Linked DNA regions of Oryzias latipes. The protein of the gene in region 1 purifies or fractionates together with the protein of each later gene. This does not show direct contact. Links are inferred from orthologs where the notes say so. Each region holds a gene or a part of one and is shown in the gene's direction. Other genes may lie near its edges. The genes, in order: hdac11, tfip11, paxbp1 and atg2b.

Region 1 (3,563 bases):
TACTGAAATGCATGTTGGGAAATGACTGGCTCCATCATGACCAAAAGTTTTAAATGTATTATAAAACATGTACCTAAAACTGTTACATAAATGTCTTAAGATGACATTTCAAAATTAAAAAGTCTAAGGTTTTGTTATGAAGTATCATGTGTACTGTGCTTCTGCTTTGTTTGGCGGCAGTGGTCGGTCGTCGTGGCAACCATCACAGAAATCCCTCCGCTCTTGTTTCTGCCGAATTTCCTGGTGCAGCGAAAGGTGCTGAGGCCTTTACGGACGCAAACAGGAGGAACCATCATGGTAACTCCACCCCCGCGTTCTTTCTTTGAGAGTCTTTGTCCATCATCCACTCACCGTCATCCTCAGAAGATCCTCTGTGCTTCTAGGTCATGAACTCTAAACCCTTCTTCAGAACTCACCTCTATAAACGACACAAATATGGATGATTACATGCACAAGATTTGATGTCAATAAATAACAAATTGAATTATGATTTGTTGGTTGTTGGTTTCATGGTTGTTGGTTTCATGCCCCGTAAGAGCACCACTGATGCCATTTTTGCTTTGAGAATGTTGATGGAAAAGTACAGAGAAGGTCAGAAGGAGCTGCATTGTGTGTTCGTAGATTTAGAGAAGGCGTATGACAGGGTGCCGAGGGAGGAGCTGTGGTACTGTATGAGGTCGTCTGGAGTGGCAGAGAAGTATGTCAGAGTAGTTCAGGACATGTATGAGAGAAGTATGACGGTGGTGAGATGTGCTGTAGGTCAGACAGAGGAGTTCAAGGTGGAGGTGGGACTACACCAAGGATCAGCTTTGAGTCCTTTTTTGTTTGCTATGCTGATGGACAGGCTGACAGACGAGGTAAGACAGGAATCTCCCTGGACAATGATGTTTGCGGATGACATTGTAATTTGCAGTGAGAGTAGAGAGCAGGTGGAGGAACAGCTAGAGAGGTGGAGGTTTGCTCTGGAAAGAAGAGGCATGAAGGTCAGTCGTAGTAAGACAGAATACATGTGTCTGAACGAGAGGGATCAAGGTAGAAGCGTTAGGTTACAGGGGACTGAGGTGAAGAAGGTGCAGGAGTTTAAGTACTTGGGGTCAACAGTTCAGTGTGATGGGGATTGTGGAAAAGAGGTGAAGAGGCGAGTGCAGGCAGGTTGGAGCGGGTGGAGGAAAGTGTCAGGAGTGTTGTGTGACAGAAGAGTGTCAGCAAGACTCAAAGGAAAGGTGTACAAGACAGTGGTGAGACCAGCTCTGCTCTATGGGTTAGAGACGGTAGCAGTGAGACAGAGACAAGAGGCTGAGATGGAGGTAGCGGAGATGAAGATGTTGAGGTTCTCCTTAGGAGTGACCAGGTTAGACAGGATAAGGAACGAGTACATCAGAGGGACGGCTCATGTTGCCTGTGTCAGCGACAAAGTCAGAGAAGCCAGACTGAGATGGTTTGGACATGTTCAGAGGAGGGATAGTGGATATATTGGTAGAAGGATGTTGGAGATGGAGCTGCCTGGCAGGAGGGCAAGAGGACGGCCAAAGAGGAGATACATGGATGTCTTAACAGAGGACATGAAGTTGGCTAATGTTAGGGTAGAAGATGTCCATGATAGAGTGAGGTGGAAAAGGATGATTCGCTGTGGCGACCCCTGATGGGAAAAGCCGAAAGAGAAAGAAGATGATTTGTTGGTTGTGTTCTAGGTAAAAGGTCTTCCATCCACCGTAAAAGAGTGATTTCTGCCTAATAAGTTTAGCAAATACTCTGTGTCAGTCTATAATCCTTCTTAAAGAACAGATGTGCAAGCTTTTGTTTATCTTTCATCCTATCTGTTTGATGACATCTGTTTTTTTCTTATTTTTTCTGTCATTTTACATCCTTTGACTACAGCTAATCGCCGCCGTTAAAACTTTAGGAGATCAGGGACAAACAGGAGAAGTTAAAACCATAGAAAGGTTGAAGTTTTAGAAATGTGTTATGTTTGAAATGATTTATTGGTTTATTTCATAGTAAAAATGACCAAGTCTGATCTTTAATGGGATTCTTTTAAAGGAGCTGAAGTAAAACATTGTCTTCTACAGGCTGGAAAACTGGCTGTTGACCGAGGATGGGCCATCAACGTTGGTGAGTAAGTCCACGGTGAAGCAGAAGCACCAGCCGGGTTAACTTTGTTCTTTCAAACATAATTAGGTTCAAAAGTTAAAGTGCTTCTTGATTTAGCGTGTCGGCTCTGTATGAATGCAACCTCACCTCCACAATCATCATCATTTGTTTTTTTCTCTCTGAACTGCTATGAGGAGTGAATTTCTCCTTGTGAAGCTTTGGAGACACGTGCCACATGTGCTCAAGAACATGCTAAACGCGCATTCTTGAATGTGCAATTAGGCCATGGTGTTCAAACTGGACAAGCAGGGAGGGTTTTTTTCCTCTTTTTGTTTTTCTACTGTTTAGTAGCACATGTCCACCACCTACAGTTAGAAGAGACGTGGTGCAAAATGCCAAAGCGGTGTAAATCTTACAAATCTTACTCCAGGCTTCTTTTTCACAGCTCGATTTCGTTATATGAAAGACTTGGTGTCATTGAATTCTGGCCAGGCACAAACCACAATTATTCATTTCTCCTCCATGATCAATTTTCAAATGGTTAGCATTTTCATGAATTAAAAGGGACGCCATCCATACGCAAAAATACGAGTCTGATTGGTCAAAGTTCACCCTGATTTAACTTTCAACGCGTGTTCAGTAGCCGCACGTTCTCTACATAGAGCTTGAAAACAGTCGTAGTAACTTGAAGGCGAGAGTTTTAAACACGGAAACCTGAAACACGCAGTTACACGTGTTTACATAGACTCTACACCGGAAGTGCTTGAATACACGTTGCTTAGGGCGGTGCGAACGTAGCTTGAGCTGTTCTTCATGAACCTGGACCTTGTTACCTCAACACTTTCCTCTGCTGTCTTTCAGGTGGGGGCTTCCATCACTGCTCCAGTAACAAGGGTGGAGGCTTTTGCGCCTATGCGGACATCACTCTGGCCATCAAGGTGATTCTCACAACCTCTGTGTCATTCTGGACACAAAGGGTGTGTAAAGAGTGTGTGGTACACAGAGGGTGTGGTGCTCTTTCAGACAGAAACTGTGGTAAACTCATGTCTGTTCACATGTCTGAATGGGCAGCTGTAAAGTGAATGTAATCAGTCATGAAAATAAGCAGAGAAGTGTTTTGTCTCAGTCAGGGATGGAAGCGTCCCTCCGCAATTATGTTTAAGAAAGCAGTGCACAGTCTGAAAATAGACTACAACCAAATAAGCATAAAAAGTGAAGCAGAACACTATGAACACAGCGGCAAGGCTAACAGATGGAAAATAAAAGGATTTTCACAGATTATTTCTTTGGATTGTCACTTTGCTGACGACTTTTTAAGCCTTTATAATGCCTAAAACTGGGATGTTTATCATTGCCAGGAGCAGCTGGTACTCTAAATGTTTACAGAAAAATGTCTATTTCAAGTGTTGATGTTGTCTTGTTTCACACTGCTGGGGTATCCATTAAGACAGATCTGGTGTCATCTCCGTAAT
Region 2 (4,273 bases), on another chromosome or scaffold:
GTATTCCTGTTTGAACACTCTTTCCACCGTTCTGCAACAGACAGAGGACATTATTTCATCTCTGTTTGCTAAAAACGATGCGCTCCATCATCAGTGTTTTCTACGAACCTTTCCCTCATACCATTGAAGCTGTTTCCAATGATTACAAGCTGGTATAATCCCCGTAAGCTCCAGTTTTTCCACAGTAGGTTGTTGTACAGAGCCTTCCCACAGTGCATGAGATAAAAAAGAGTGGGCTTGGTCACCAGACGCTTCCCCTCCTAAATAAAACAGCGGATACTTTAGTCTGTTTAGATCTCAGTTACGGTGATAACATCAGCAGTTTGTTCTCTAGAAGTGCAAAAAGAAAAACAATTGACATGACCTCGTTTTCTGTGAGTACAGTCATTCCCAGCTCCCTCAAGACATCCTGCTCTCCAGAGGAGAATATGGGATCATAAACCAAGCAATCCCTTAAGGAAACCTTTAGGAGAAAAAAAACTAAATGAGCAACTCAAAACAAACATAACACATGTTTGTTAGAACATAGTCTAATGCTCTCTTCTGACCTGTAATACTTCCAGCAGCAGAAGCAGCATGGCAAGCTGATACCGGGCTGCAGTGCAAGAAGAAAAGGAGCCAAGGCCATAACACACACACTCCAGCTGATCACCTGTGTTCTTCAGATGCTCCTCAGTGACGTCCTTCTCTGCAGATGCTGATGCTGTGGATGCCATCAGCAGCTCATCTGAGGACGAGGAACATAAGAGTTACAATTCAATTACACACTAAATAAAAAAAACATGTCTAAAAAATTTGGTTATGTTTTACTTACCTTTCCATTTGTGCCAAAACTCTTCGCATCTCAACTCAGTCCTATGAGACAGAGAGTAAAGAATGAGATATCAGAATTAGTTTTCCCCTCGATAAGGCACAATGAACTATGTTTATGAGTGGTTTTCCGTTTTTTTTATTTTATTTCTTACACAGTGGTCCTGATCCGTCTGACAACTTTCTCGACATCAAGCTGGTCTTCTTGGACGCTGGTGGAACTTAAAGGCACATGAGATTTAAACTTCCTTGTTTGCCCTTTTCGACGCCGAGCGACCTGCCACTCACTTTCAGACATTTTTTTTATCTCATTCCCATCATTCAACGATCTATAATAAAATGTTAGGGGTGAAAAAAAAACAGTGATAATAATTAAAAAACAAACACCCTAATCACCTCCGCCACAAAATCAGCAGCGCGTAGGACGGTTTTAAGTGTAACACATTTGTCTTCCGGTGTAACGCCAAAATAAAAGCTTTTATCACATAATTTATTAACCTAAATGTGTGGTGTTGCTGTTTTAACTTAGAGAAATTTATATAAAAACCAACACAAATCTTTAGTAAATGCAAACAAATAAAAATAAGTAAAATCTCAAAGTTTTAAGGTCACAACATTTATTCGTCAGTACTGACGGACAGACTTTACCCGGAAGTATTTCCACGTTCGTGCGTTGAACGAAAAGCTACACAGATAACCTCTTCTTGCTACAGACAGCCAAGAATGAGTTTTAATTAATCTCTAAGTGTATAAACTATTTCTTGTCAAGTAAGCTTTGTTTGTATTAAGTGCCTTTCTACTTTCCAAGTTCGAAATGTTTCTGCAGTCGTAATGGGATTTAATGTCCCAACTATCGTTAGCTAGATTTCGCTAAAAAATCTCATCATTTGCATTATTAATATCTGAGTTCTGTTAGTTAATACCTTTTTGCTTGAAACTTCTTAATGTATTTTTACGCTTTCAATCATACAAATGTGCAATACAGTTGATATTTATGTTGATAATTGTTTGTGACCGAAACAGTTTTGTGGCTAGCTTCGTGCTTAGCTAGCGTTAGCAATCATTGCTGACTGTGGTTTCATGCTGTTGTACGATTTTTTAAGCAACTTGAATGTTTTTCAATTGTATGGCTTTTATGATTTTTTTTTGTATTGGGTCTCTATCTAGAAATGTCGATGTCCCATCTTTACGGGCGGAGGGAAGAAGAGGAAGAAGGTGTGGAGATCGAAAGCTTCGAGGTGACAGACTGGGATCTGGCCAATGAGTTTAACCCAGAACGCCGCAGGTTTAGGCAGACCAAGGAGCAGGCCACTTATGGGATCTGGGCTGACAAAGATTCAGATGAAGATGAGAGACCCAGCTTTGGTGGCAAGAGGTAATTCACAGGTTTGATGCTCTGATGTCTAAATGTGAAAATTTTTGCAGAGGATGTTAACAGTGTACATTTTCTTTAGGTCGAAAGATTACAGCACCCCAGTGAATTTTGTTAGTGCCGGTCTACGTAAAACTGCAGCCGAGGAGAAACAGCAAGACAAAGAAGAAGGTTCTGATGATTCGGAAGAGGATGCCCCTGCAGTTCCCCCTCCTACTCGTGGAATTGCACCTAGAAAACTTCAGATGGTAAAGTTTCGCTTAAGAACATATTTTATCTAAAAAAGCTTTCTTTTTAAACTGACGTCTATAATTTCTTTGTTTTGTCAGAGTAATTTTCGTGGGAATCAGTCCCAGAGGTTTGCTGGTGGAATACAATCTGGACAGGGTATTGGAACCTGGGAGAAGCACACAAAAGGAATTGGACAGAAGCTTCTGCAGAAAATGGGTTACCAGCCTGGAAAGGGGCTTGGAAAAAATGCTCAAGGTAGGCAGCGTAAAGGAGGAAAAGTACTGTACACGATTGTGCTTTTGCATGCATTTCAGAGGGAAAATAATAGAGATTTTATTGCCATGCCTCTGTTTTGTTTATGTAGGTATTGTAAACCCTATTGAGGCAAAGGTCCGTAAAGGTAAAGGAGCTGTAGGTGCATATGGCAATGAGAGAACCCAGCAGAGTCTGCAGGACTTCCCTGTGGTTGACTCTGAAGAAGAGGAGGAAAAGGTGAGATTTTGCCACGAGCAGTTCTTTACTCCATATAATCTTGTTTTCACAGTGATTGTGTATCTGAAGAATTGAGGGCTAACTGTGAAATTATCTTCTTGTTTTTCTCCTGTAATGTGTGTTGTTGTAGGAGTTTCAAAAAGAATTGGGTCAGTGGCGAAAGGATCCTGCGGGCTCCGCAGTCAAGAAGAAACCAAAATACTCATACAGAACTGCAGATGAGCTGAGGGCTAAAGGCAAAATGGTTTCTCGGAACATGGCAGCATCTGCAGGAGAGTTGGCGCAGGTTAAGGTGCGTTAAAATCCTGCGTTATGTCCTTTTAATTTCGGGTCAGAACAATGAAAAAAACCACAAACTTTAATATTTTAAAGAGCTTCACAAGCATCTACTTGTTTTTTTTTTTTTTTTTACATTTCCTCCTTTCAGCATAAAACTGAAATAAATTGAAAGATTTTTATGGCCATGGAAGTAAAATGATTCAAGTTTTCTTTTTATTAATTGTTTTTATCTCTCTTCAAATTTAGGTTATAGATATGACTGTAAGAGAGCCAAAGGTTTACTACAGTTACAGTCAGATAGCCAACAAACACAGTGTTCCCGATGAAACCCCACCAGCCATGTCCACACGGGATCAGAAGGGTTCCGGCTTCGCTCTCCCTGAGCTTGAGCATAATCTTCAGCTGCTGATCGACCTCACAGAACAGGACATTTTACAGGTCAGAGGAAAATCTGAAATTCTTTCAAATCATTTTCAACTATTAACCCGTTTCAAGTGGGCTTCCAGATTTAATTTTTTTCTTCTGCTCTCTTTATTTATTCTTTTGTAGTCGGCCAGACGTCTACAGCATGAAAAGGACGTGGTCGTTTCTCTGAGTCATGAGTCCCGTGCGTTGCAGAGCAGACTAGAAGCAGAGCAAGATGCCATCCAGAAAATGGAGGCTGTTTTGGCACTGGTGGAGCGTTTTCCCTCTGGAGAGACGCCACCAGGGGAGGGACCGACTCTTCAGGTACGTGGCACATGAAAATACCCAAACTAGATGTACTTATCTTGCAGTTTATTTGTTCCTAATGGTTTTTAATCTCCATTCTTCTAACATTTAATCATTTTGAACATACTTATTTGTTTATTTTCTCACCTCTCTGTGCCCAGGAGTGTGCCCAGATCTTTGAGACTTTACAAACAGATTATTATGAAGAGTATAAAATGATGGGATTGGCAGACCTGGCTGTGGCAGTTGTTCATCCTTTACTTAAGGAGAAACTTCACTCATGGGAGCCTCTAAAGGTTTTTTTTTTTTAATTATTCTAATTAAATTATTACGCTTTTATTTCTGTGGGGGGGAAAACAAACACCTTATTTTCAACAT
Region 3 (4,087 bases), on another chromosome or scaffold:
GCGCGCTGTGTGTGTGTGTGCGTGCGTGGGTGCGTGTGTGCGTGTGTTGGAGACCCCGCGTGCATGTGTGAGAGCACGGGCGAAAGAGGGGGGTGAGAGCGCGGAGCGGGAGAGTTTGCGTCTATATTGTGTGATCGAGGACTGAAAACCTTAATAAAAAGATGGTGTCCCTCCCCAGAAGAAGTATTTTGTCTTATTAACTCGCTCTGGAGGCTGAGGATCCGAACGGGAAAGTGAATCCCAAACGAGGATCCGCCTTCGCTTCGGCCCTGGAGAAAATCTCCCCTGCGTTTCCGACCACGGTCAGAAAGAAAAAAAGAGAAGTTATCGCGTAGGTTCAACAGTGTCCCTGCAGCTGTCCACCTGAATCCTTTCTTCCTCCATTAAAGATCATCAGATCTCTACGTTTGTGTGACACTTCTGTCTGAGGAGGAGCACTTTCTGGCATTTTCAACGTTCTAATGCTAATATAACAGACTATTTTCATTCCTCTTTATTGTTATATGTTATAACGGGACGTTTCATCTGGAGGAGGGGGCGTATGTAAAACTGTTTACTTCTGCATTGGTGTTCGGATGACAGGTTCATGTCGTAAGGTGACTGATGAACTTCAGGATATGTGAATGAAAAGGAAAATAAAGGCTGCAGCGGTCCTCTACACCCAAATGTGTCTCTGAGCTCCTTATTATATATATGAAACTCCGCTTTACTGACACCGAACCCCGGAAAACCGGTTTACTCTGAAAATTATCTGATTTTGAGTCGCCAAAAAGTTCAGAATCTCATTGTTTTTTTAAACCTATCCGGAAAAAAACTTCAGAAAAGTCTCCACATAATCGATGACTTTTTTCTTGTAAATGTACGAGATTTTAAATCGTAAATTCTCGAGATAAAAGTTGTAAATTTACGAGTTTTTTCCTAGTAAATTTACGACTTAAAAGTCTTAATAAAAAAAAGACAAAGAGCGTTAGATACAGATGTCACTGTGGAGAGCTGAGTACATTAATTTTTTTTAGACAAACGTATATTTGTAAGTAATCTAGTAAGAAAACACCCTAATCTTGTCCAAATATCACGTAGCTCCCAAGAGCGCTGAATAATTTGAAACTGATTTTTTTTTTTGGTAGGAAAAAAAGTCCGCCTTCTTTTGTGCGTACGCAACGTTTATAAATAAGGCTCCTGGTCTAATGGTCCATTCCAAATGTTGCTTTCCCTATTTTGACCATTGGGGGCAGAAGAGCAGAATTTGAAGAAAATTCTCAGCTGAAAGAGAAGAAGAAAGTCTCCGACAGAAAATGGCGGACTTGCTTTGCGGCTTATGTGTTCGACGATTCTGAGCGCAAGTTGGTGTTTTAGTCCTTCCGAGTATGCGCTGGATTTGACTACTAGACACAATGTTTAAAAGGGCGAAAAGAGCCAATTTTCGAAGGAGGAACGACTCCGAGGAGGACGAGCAGGAGCAGAGCCAGCCACAGGCGCTCGTGCCCATGTCGTTTGGGCCTGCTGTGGAAATCCCGTTTATGGAAAAGAGCAGCGGCGGTTCCGGAGCGCTGAGCGGCACCGACAACGTTCACAGCAATGGCTTTTTGGCCAACATTAACAACGCGAAAGGTGTCAAAAAGGAAAAGAAATGCAAAGAAACGCCCGTTCAGCCTCTACCGGCTAAAGTCAGTCTGCTGAGTTTCGACGAGGAGGAAGGTAACTACTAGCAAAGACTGCTATGATAGCTTCTCTTTACGTCATAAACATTGGAAGTTTGTTCATTTTAGCGATATCCAAGCACTTTTTTGTGGTTTTTATGTTTGGTAAAAATCATGACATTATCTTAGGTTGAGATTTTCTTTGTCACTCCAACAGAAGCTACCGAGGTGTTCAGGGTGAAGAAACCAAACCACAGCAAGAAGATTGTCAAACAGCTGAAAAAAGAATACAAAGAAGATCTGGAAAAAGGTGGAAGTGGGAAACAGGAAAGCAAAACAGGTACCCATCTATCAAAATGTTGTTTTATGTCATTTTTACTTTGCCTTTCCTTTTTATTTTTTCTTGCGTGTGTTCATCTGTCACAACATAGTAAATTGAGATGTAATATAGCATTTGTTATATACTTCGTTTTAAACAGGTATAACTATTTTACATTTCCAATTTGGACTGAATGCCGTGCATAGCTCGTGCTGGTTTGCGGCGCCTTCCGTCCGTGAAACCAGGGTTCGACTCCGGGCTGCTCCCTGTTCCCTTCTCTACCCCTGTGCCGGTTCCAAGCCCGGTTTGAGAGGGTTGCGTCAGGAAGGGCATCCGGCGTAAAACATTGCCAAGTTTACCATGCGACTTGTTCGCTGTGGCGACCCCTGATGGGAGAAGCCGAAAGAGGAAGAAGACTGAATGCCGTGCATAATTAGGTTAAAATTTGTTTTTGCTGGACTGCATTGTTCAACTTTCCGGCAAATTCGCACTTGATCCTGCAAAAAATAATTGTTGCTGTCAGTAATTTCCAAAAATGTTTTAAACAGAATAATGATATGCAGGTGTTGATGTTTAAAATCGATTTTACTTGGTTTGCTATTGGAACAGTACTGTATGTGTCCAGCAGGAGGCAGTGTAAGGTAAAGCCTGTTGTTGCTGCATTGGTCACCAACACTAGGACCGGTTTAAAGATGAAAATTGTGTTTTTAATATGTTCTTTTGTCATTTTTCTGATGATGTATGAAACAATTATTTCAATTATTATAATATTAAACGCAGTGATAAATTTAGCAATACAAAAATAAACAACTTTTATTGATAATGAGCAACACAATATATTACCACATTATTGTATCAACTTCATAAGTATGACTTTAATTGGGTTAAAAATAAACTTTTATATAAGAAAATGTTATTCCAGGGAGTCATCTGTTTGTGGTGTTAAGCAATGCTTGAAATAAACTAAACATGTATTTTTCTTTCAGGTGCTCCATCTAAGCCTATGTTTGCGATTAAAGAGGAAGTTATCAGCAGGGAAAACAGTGAACATGGAGAGGAAGAAATGGAGGTCGACAGCGATGAACAGGACGAAGAGGCGCGGAGTCAGGGTGTTCCAACACGTGGTCAAATACCCAAAAGCATCAATCCAGGAGGGACGTTTAACACGCTTTCCTCCCTCAGCAGTTTGAAACCAGGTAGGAATATTCAACAGTGAAACATTTGGGGAAGGATTGTGGTAAAAACCCACTAAGAAGAAGAAGAATTGTCCTGTTTTTGTGATGTCTGTACACATAAATATTCAGATGACTGCAACAGAAACAGCGTACCACATATCTAAACCTCTGTTTCTGAAATGTTTCTGCCCAAAAACTGCACAAATATTTAGCTAAAGACGGTGTCTGTCCTGCAGGCGAGATCCCAGATGCGGCTTTCATCCATGCTGCCAGGAAACGCCGGCAGCTGGCAAGAGAACTGGGGGGCGAAGCTCCTCTGGTACAGATGGACACGCCCCAGAAGCGTTTGGATCAAGAAGACCAGGATGCTAGTGATGATGACGAGGATGAGAAGAGGATCCGTTTCAGTGGAGTCAAGAACAAAACCCAGAGGCAGAAGATAGCTGAAGAAATAGGTATTGCGCTTTCGTCTTGATTGCTCACTTACACTGATTTAGTTTTAAACGTGTGTGTGCTTTTACAGGTATTGAGGGAAGTGATGATGAAGCTCTGGATGCAGCAGGTCAGGATGAGGAGGTGAGCCGATGGGAGCAGGAGCAGATCAGAAAAGGAATTAGTATACCTCAGGTAAGCAGCACTACATATTTACAAAAACTGTGCTTTTTTTATTATGCTTTTTATTTGTTAGTTGTTGTTTTTTTCTTTAGAATAAAACGTAAGTGAAACACATCTCTTGTCTGTCAGGTTTGACCTGCACTAGGGTTTGTTTTGCTTTAAGAGTCTGTGTGCAAGTTCCCCTCAGAACTAGTTCAGATCTGGGTCTCTGCTCACTTCAGAGTGAACTAAAGACAGTCGGTGATGGAACTGCCACCCAAACCACATAGCAGAAAACTGAAGCAGGAATCGCTAAGAAGTTGGAAAATGTCTGAGCAAAGGTGGTGAAGTGAGGAGCT
Region 4 (3,563 bases), on another chromosome or scaffold:
CATCCTCAGAGGGACTCTTCCAGGTTTTAGCAGCAGAAATCTGAAACACCGCTTCACAGTGTTTAGTCTTTAATCTGGAAAATTTACAGAAAATCTGTCTCTGATCGTCTCAGGGCTTAAAGTGGTTCATAGGGCTTGTGCACAAAGCAGATTGTTAGTTCTAGCTTGCTAGACTAACCTTTATTTGTGATTGTTTTGGTTCAATGGGGTCAGTCTTACTGTTTTAATCAATTGTTTAGTGCATTATCCATATAAGTCTGCATAAGACATATATTTGTCATCTAAATTTTGTCTGACCATTGATAATTTAAAATGGAAATACAAGCTTGTCCTGCAATGACCTTAAATGACCTTAAACTAATAAAATGATTCTTTCAGCTGTATCCCATGTTAAATAGTTCAATATACAAAAAAAAAAACTCTTTTTTTTTTTTTTTAAAACCTTTTGCAGCACAAAGCCTTCACTGAGGTTTTCCTTGATGACACCCATACACCCTCCAGCTGTCACGTGTCACTGACGGTAAATGCCCCAGTGCTTGGCCTTGCAGTGCGCTTTCCCATCCCTGATCTGCGTTCAGATCAGGAAAGAGGGCCCTGGTTCAAAAAGTCCCTGCAGAAGGAAGTACTTTATCTGGACCTGGAGGACCTGGAGGTTAAAATAGAGTTCATGGGTGGTAACTCACCAGATCAAACCAAAATGGAGCTCACGTTCAAAGAACTTAAAGGTATATCCCCTCCACATCTGCACTCTGAGTTGTAACTTTTTATTTGAAGGCTGCTGATAAATGAACTTTATCATTTCTTTGTATGTAGGCAAGTTCCAGGAGGACCCAGAGGAACCTGCTTCCTGTTTTCTCCGAGTATCCAACACTATGGACGGAGACATGACAACATCTGAAAGTGGGAAGTTCGACTGGCCAAGGTAAGTGTACACAACTCAAACCTATGTGTCCGTTCAGCAGCGTCTTCAGTCCTTCAACTCTTTGTGCAGAGTGGTGTTGAAGATGAACCCCACTGCAGTCCATTCAATCCTCGAGCGTGTGACGGCTGAGGATGACGAGGGCGCTGAGGACCACTCGCTTGAGGAAGAAGAGGAGGAAGGGGCTGCCCATTCACTAAAAGACGTGTGTGACTTTGGGAAGCCGGAACCCTCACCCTTTTCTTCCCGAAGGGTTATGTATGAGAATGAAGAGGTAATTCATATTCCTTTTCAAGTATCTCCACATTTCGTTCTGTTAAAGGGTTTTATGTGTTTTATTTAGACATGAGAAAAATGTACAGAGCTCTTCATTTCTGTCCACACTTATAATAAACCCGAGTTTAGTTATAACTGAAAATGATCATCTAAAAACTAAAACTGCTATTTGAAACCTTTGAATTGATTCTTTTGCCCTTTTTTTCTCAAAATGAAATAAACCAAAAGAATGTAATAAAACATTGCAACATTTTTAAGCCGCTGGCTTGCAAGTAGAGTTATTTTGATTTGTGTAAGTGATCAATACTAAATAGTCAAAAGGGACAAATACAAACCGTTTAAGCAAAATCAATGAATTATCCTTTACAGAAGAAATGATCACTTTCTTTGCTTATTAATGACTTATTTTTGACTACAGTTATGCAAATTTGTCGTTCATAGAGGACTTTTTTTAACCTGAATATCTGCCAACCACTGCATACTATTGAATTAACTCCTTTTTGTATTTATAAAGGACATTTGGGTCTTTTTAGTGATGATGAGTCCCTGAAAGTTGTAGTTTTAGGTGGATCTAAAAAAGTTTTTTTAACTGGACAATTTTTTTCTCTCTGGTAGTCTGTCCACTGTTCAAACAGAATTTTATTTTTTAGGATTTCCAGTTGGTGGTGTGACTTCCTTGTGATTTGCATTCACAGGAAAAGGGAACTTTTTGATGTTTAAATATATTTATTAAGTTTTAACAAATTTCGACACAAATTCAGACAAGCCCCCTCCCCCACTGTCAGTCATAAAACACAATGCAGTTACAGTATATTAATAGAATATGTATGCAAACACACATAACTATATATATGTAAACACACAAAAACCCTAACACATAAACAATATTTAAGAGTCAGTTCAGAGAGTATAATAAAAGCAAATAACAGCCAGATATGCAAACAAATAAATGTATATTAAAAGTAAAGATGGATTATTGAAAAAGGTCAAGAAGGGTTTCCTCACTATATAGTTTGTGTTCTGAACCCCTTATTTTCTCAAGATAAGGTGAAACAAAACATCTTTAACCCAGTGTGATGCAGTTTGTGGTTCAATGTCCATCCATTTAAGCAGAGTCAGATGTCGTGCTAGTAAAGAAAAAACATGAATCCTTTGACCCCCAGTCGGAAAAGGTAGCCCCTCATCACAAATCACCAAAAGAAGCATTATTGGGCAAAGTGGAAAAGTGACATTTTGCTTAAAAAAGGTTAAATAACACTTCTCTAAAGCACAGTCATGGTTAAATTGGGCAACATATTAGAATTCCAGCTTATATCAGTCTCCAATTTACTTAAAATATACAGCTCCAGCTGATTCTATGTTAAACATGCGCATAACATAAAAGGTGAATAAAGGATTCTAAAAAGTTAACAGGAAATAGGCTGTAATTGTGAATATTTGTAAATATAAACATGTCGATATTTTTTATGATTACCTTCATCTTTATTGTGGATCCTAAATTGTTCTGACTGGTATAGCTGTAGCTACACGTGGTGACGCACGCCGCCTCAATGACATCACCTCTTCGCATTTGTTTAACAGTAAAATCCGTCTGACCATCAGGACCATTGTGTTTGTTGCAAAGCAGGTGCACTTTGTCTAAGTGAAAACATTTGCATTCAGTATAACCTGCTGGACGGATCGTCCCTCATTACTGATGGTTTCTCAGGCAAATAGTTCCGTGCTTTGAATACCTGAACTGTTGACAAAACATGCTGATGTGGTCTGATGATTTCATTTTTTCCCCTTTTCTAATCTCAGATGGTCATTCCCGGTGATGTTGTGGAAATGACAGAGTTCCAGGAAAAAACCATGAACAACTCGCGTTTTGTCCTCGAGTTGAGTTTCCCAAATGTGCAATTAGTGCTCCCAAGCAAGGCATTCTACGAAAAGCTACACAACAGGTGCAAAATAATCATTTTCTCTTAAAAAAAAAAAAAAAAAAGCATTATCAGAGTTGATCAAGTATCACTCACTTTTATGAAGTCGCCAAATCCCTGCTGCTGTTAAATTTGATTACTTTTTTTTCAAATCTTGTTTACTTTTTGAAGACTTGTAGCCTAAATCCTGTTAAAAGGGAAATTGTTCATATTGTAGGATAAACAACGACCTGTTGCTGTGGGAGCCCACTGCTCCGTCCCCCGTGGAAACTGTGGAGAACATGCCCTATGGAGTTGGACTGTCTGTTGCCAGTCAGCTGATCAATACGTACTCCAAAGACAGCTTTAGCCAGTTTCGCTCTGCTGGTCCTGATGGTGAGGCAGCTACTTGTTTTTTTTCTTTTAGTGATACAATGAGCTTAAAGCAGTCTTACTTTGTTGTACTGGTT

What was found.
Region 2: the proteins of hdac11 (region 1) and tfip11 purify together in Homo sapiens (co-immunoprecipitation; 3 studies listed by BioGRID and IntAct, counting the BioPlex papers as one, with this or other methods). This does not show direct contact. The link is inferred for Oryzias latipes from reciprocal best matches to the Homo sapiens genes HDAC11 and TFIP11.
Region 3: the proteins of hdac11 (region 1) and paxbp1 purify together in Homo sapiens (co-immunoprecipitation; 3 studies listed by BioGRID and IntAct, counting the BioPlex papers as one, with this or other methods). This does not show direct contact. The link is inferred for Oryzias latipes from reciprocal best matches to the Homo sapiens genes HDAC11 and PAXBP1.
Region 4: the proteins of hdac11 (region 1) and atg2b purify together in Homo sapiens (co-immunoprecipitation; 3 studies listed by BioGRID and IntAct, counting the BioPlex papers as one, with this or other methods). This does not show direct contact. The link is inferred for Oryzias latipes from reciprocal best matches to the Homo sapiens genes HDAC11 and ATG2B.

Annotation. Positions count from the first base shown.
Region 1 is NC_019863.2:24,898,254-24,901,816, forward strand, and holds part of hdac11 (histone deacetylase 11), read left to right. Parts: intron 1-180; coding exon 181-297; intron 298-2,069; coding exon 2,070-2,112; intron 2,113-2,952; coding exon 2,953-3,029; intron 3,030-3,563. UniProt on the Homo sapiens protein: Responsible for the deacetylation of lysine residues on the N-terminal part of the core histones (H2A, H2B, H3 and H4).
Region 2 is NC_019867.2:13,548,578-13,552,850, forward strand, and holds the start of tfip11 (tuftelin-interacting protein 11), read left to right. Parts: upstream 1-1,449; 5' UTR 1,450-1,578; intron 1,579-1,977; 5' UTR 1,978-1,979; coding exon 1,980-2,185; intron 2,186-2,264; coding exon 2,265-2,430; intron 2,431-2,511; coding exon 2,512-2,668; intron 2,669-2,777; coding exon 2,778-2,905; intron 2,906-3,035; coding exon 3,036-3,197; intron 3,198-3,430; coding exon 3,431-3,622; intron 3,623-3,733; coding exon 3,734-3,913; intron 3,914-4,056; coding exon 4,057-4,191; intron 4,192-4,273. Other genes in the region: srrd (SRR1-like protein), read right to left, coding at 1-31, 109-260, 365-463, 549-727, 815-855, 966-1,108. UniProt on the Homo sapiens protein: Involved in pre-mRNA splicing, specifically in spliceosome disassembly during late-stage splicing events. Intron turnover seems to proceed through reactions in two lariat-intron associated complexes termed Intron Large (IL) and Intron Small (IS).
Region 3 is NC_019872.2:11,588,830-11,592,916, reverse strand, and holds the start of paxbp1 (PAX3- and PAX7-binding protein 1), read left to right. Parts: upstream 1-1,269; 5' UTR 1,270-1,394; coding exon 1,395-1,698; intron 1,699-1,857; coding exon 1,858-1,980; intron 1,981-2,945; coding exon 2,946-3,155; intron 3,156-3,370; coding exon 3,371-3,589; intron 3,590-3,657; coding exon 3,658-3,761; intron 3,762-4,087. UniProt on the Homo sapiens protein: Adapter protein linking the transcription factors PAX3 and PAX7 to the histone methylation machinery and involved in myogenesis.
Region 4 is NC_019880.2:13,120,778-13,124,340, reverse strand, and holds part of atg2b (autophagy-related protein 2 homolog B), read left to right. Parts: intron 1-451; coding exon 452-725; intron 726-813; coding exon 814-922; intron 923-991; coding exon 992-1,193; intron 1,194-2,995; coding exon 2,996-3,138; intron 3,139-3,331; coding exon 3,332-3,489; intron 3,490-3,563. UniProt on the Homo sapiens protein: Lipid transfer protein required for both autophagosome formation and regulation of lipid droplet morphology and dispersion.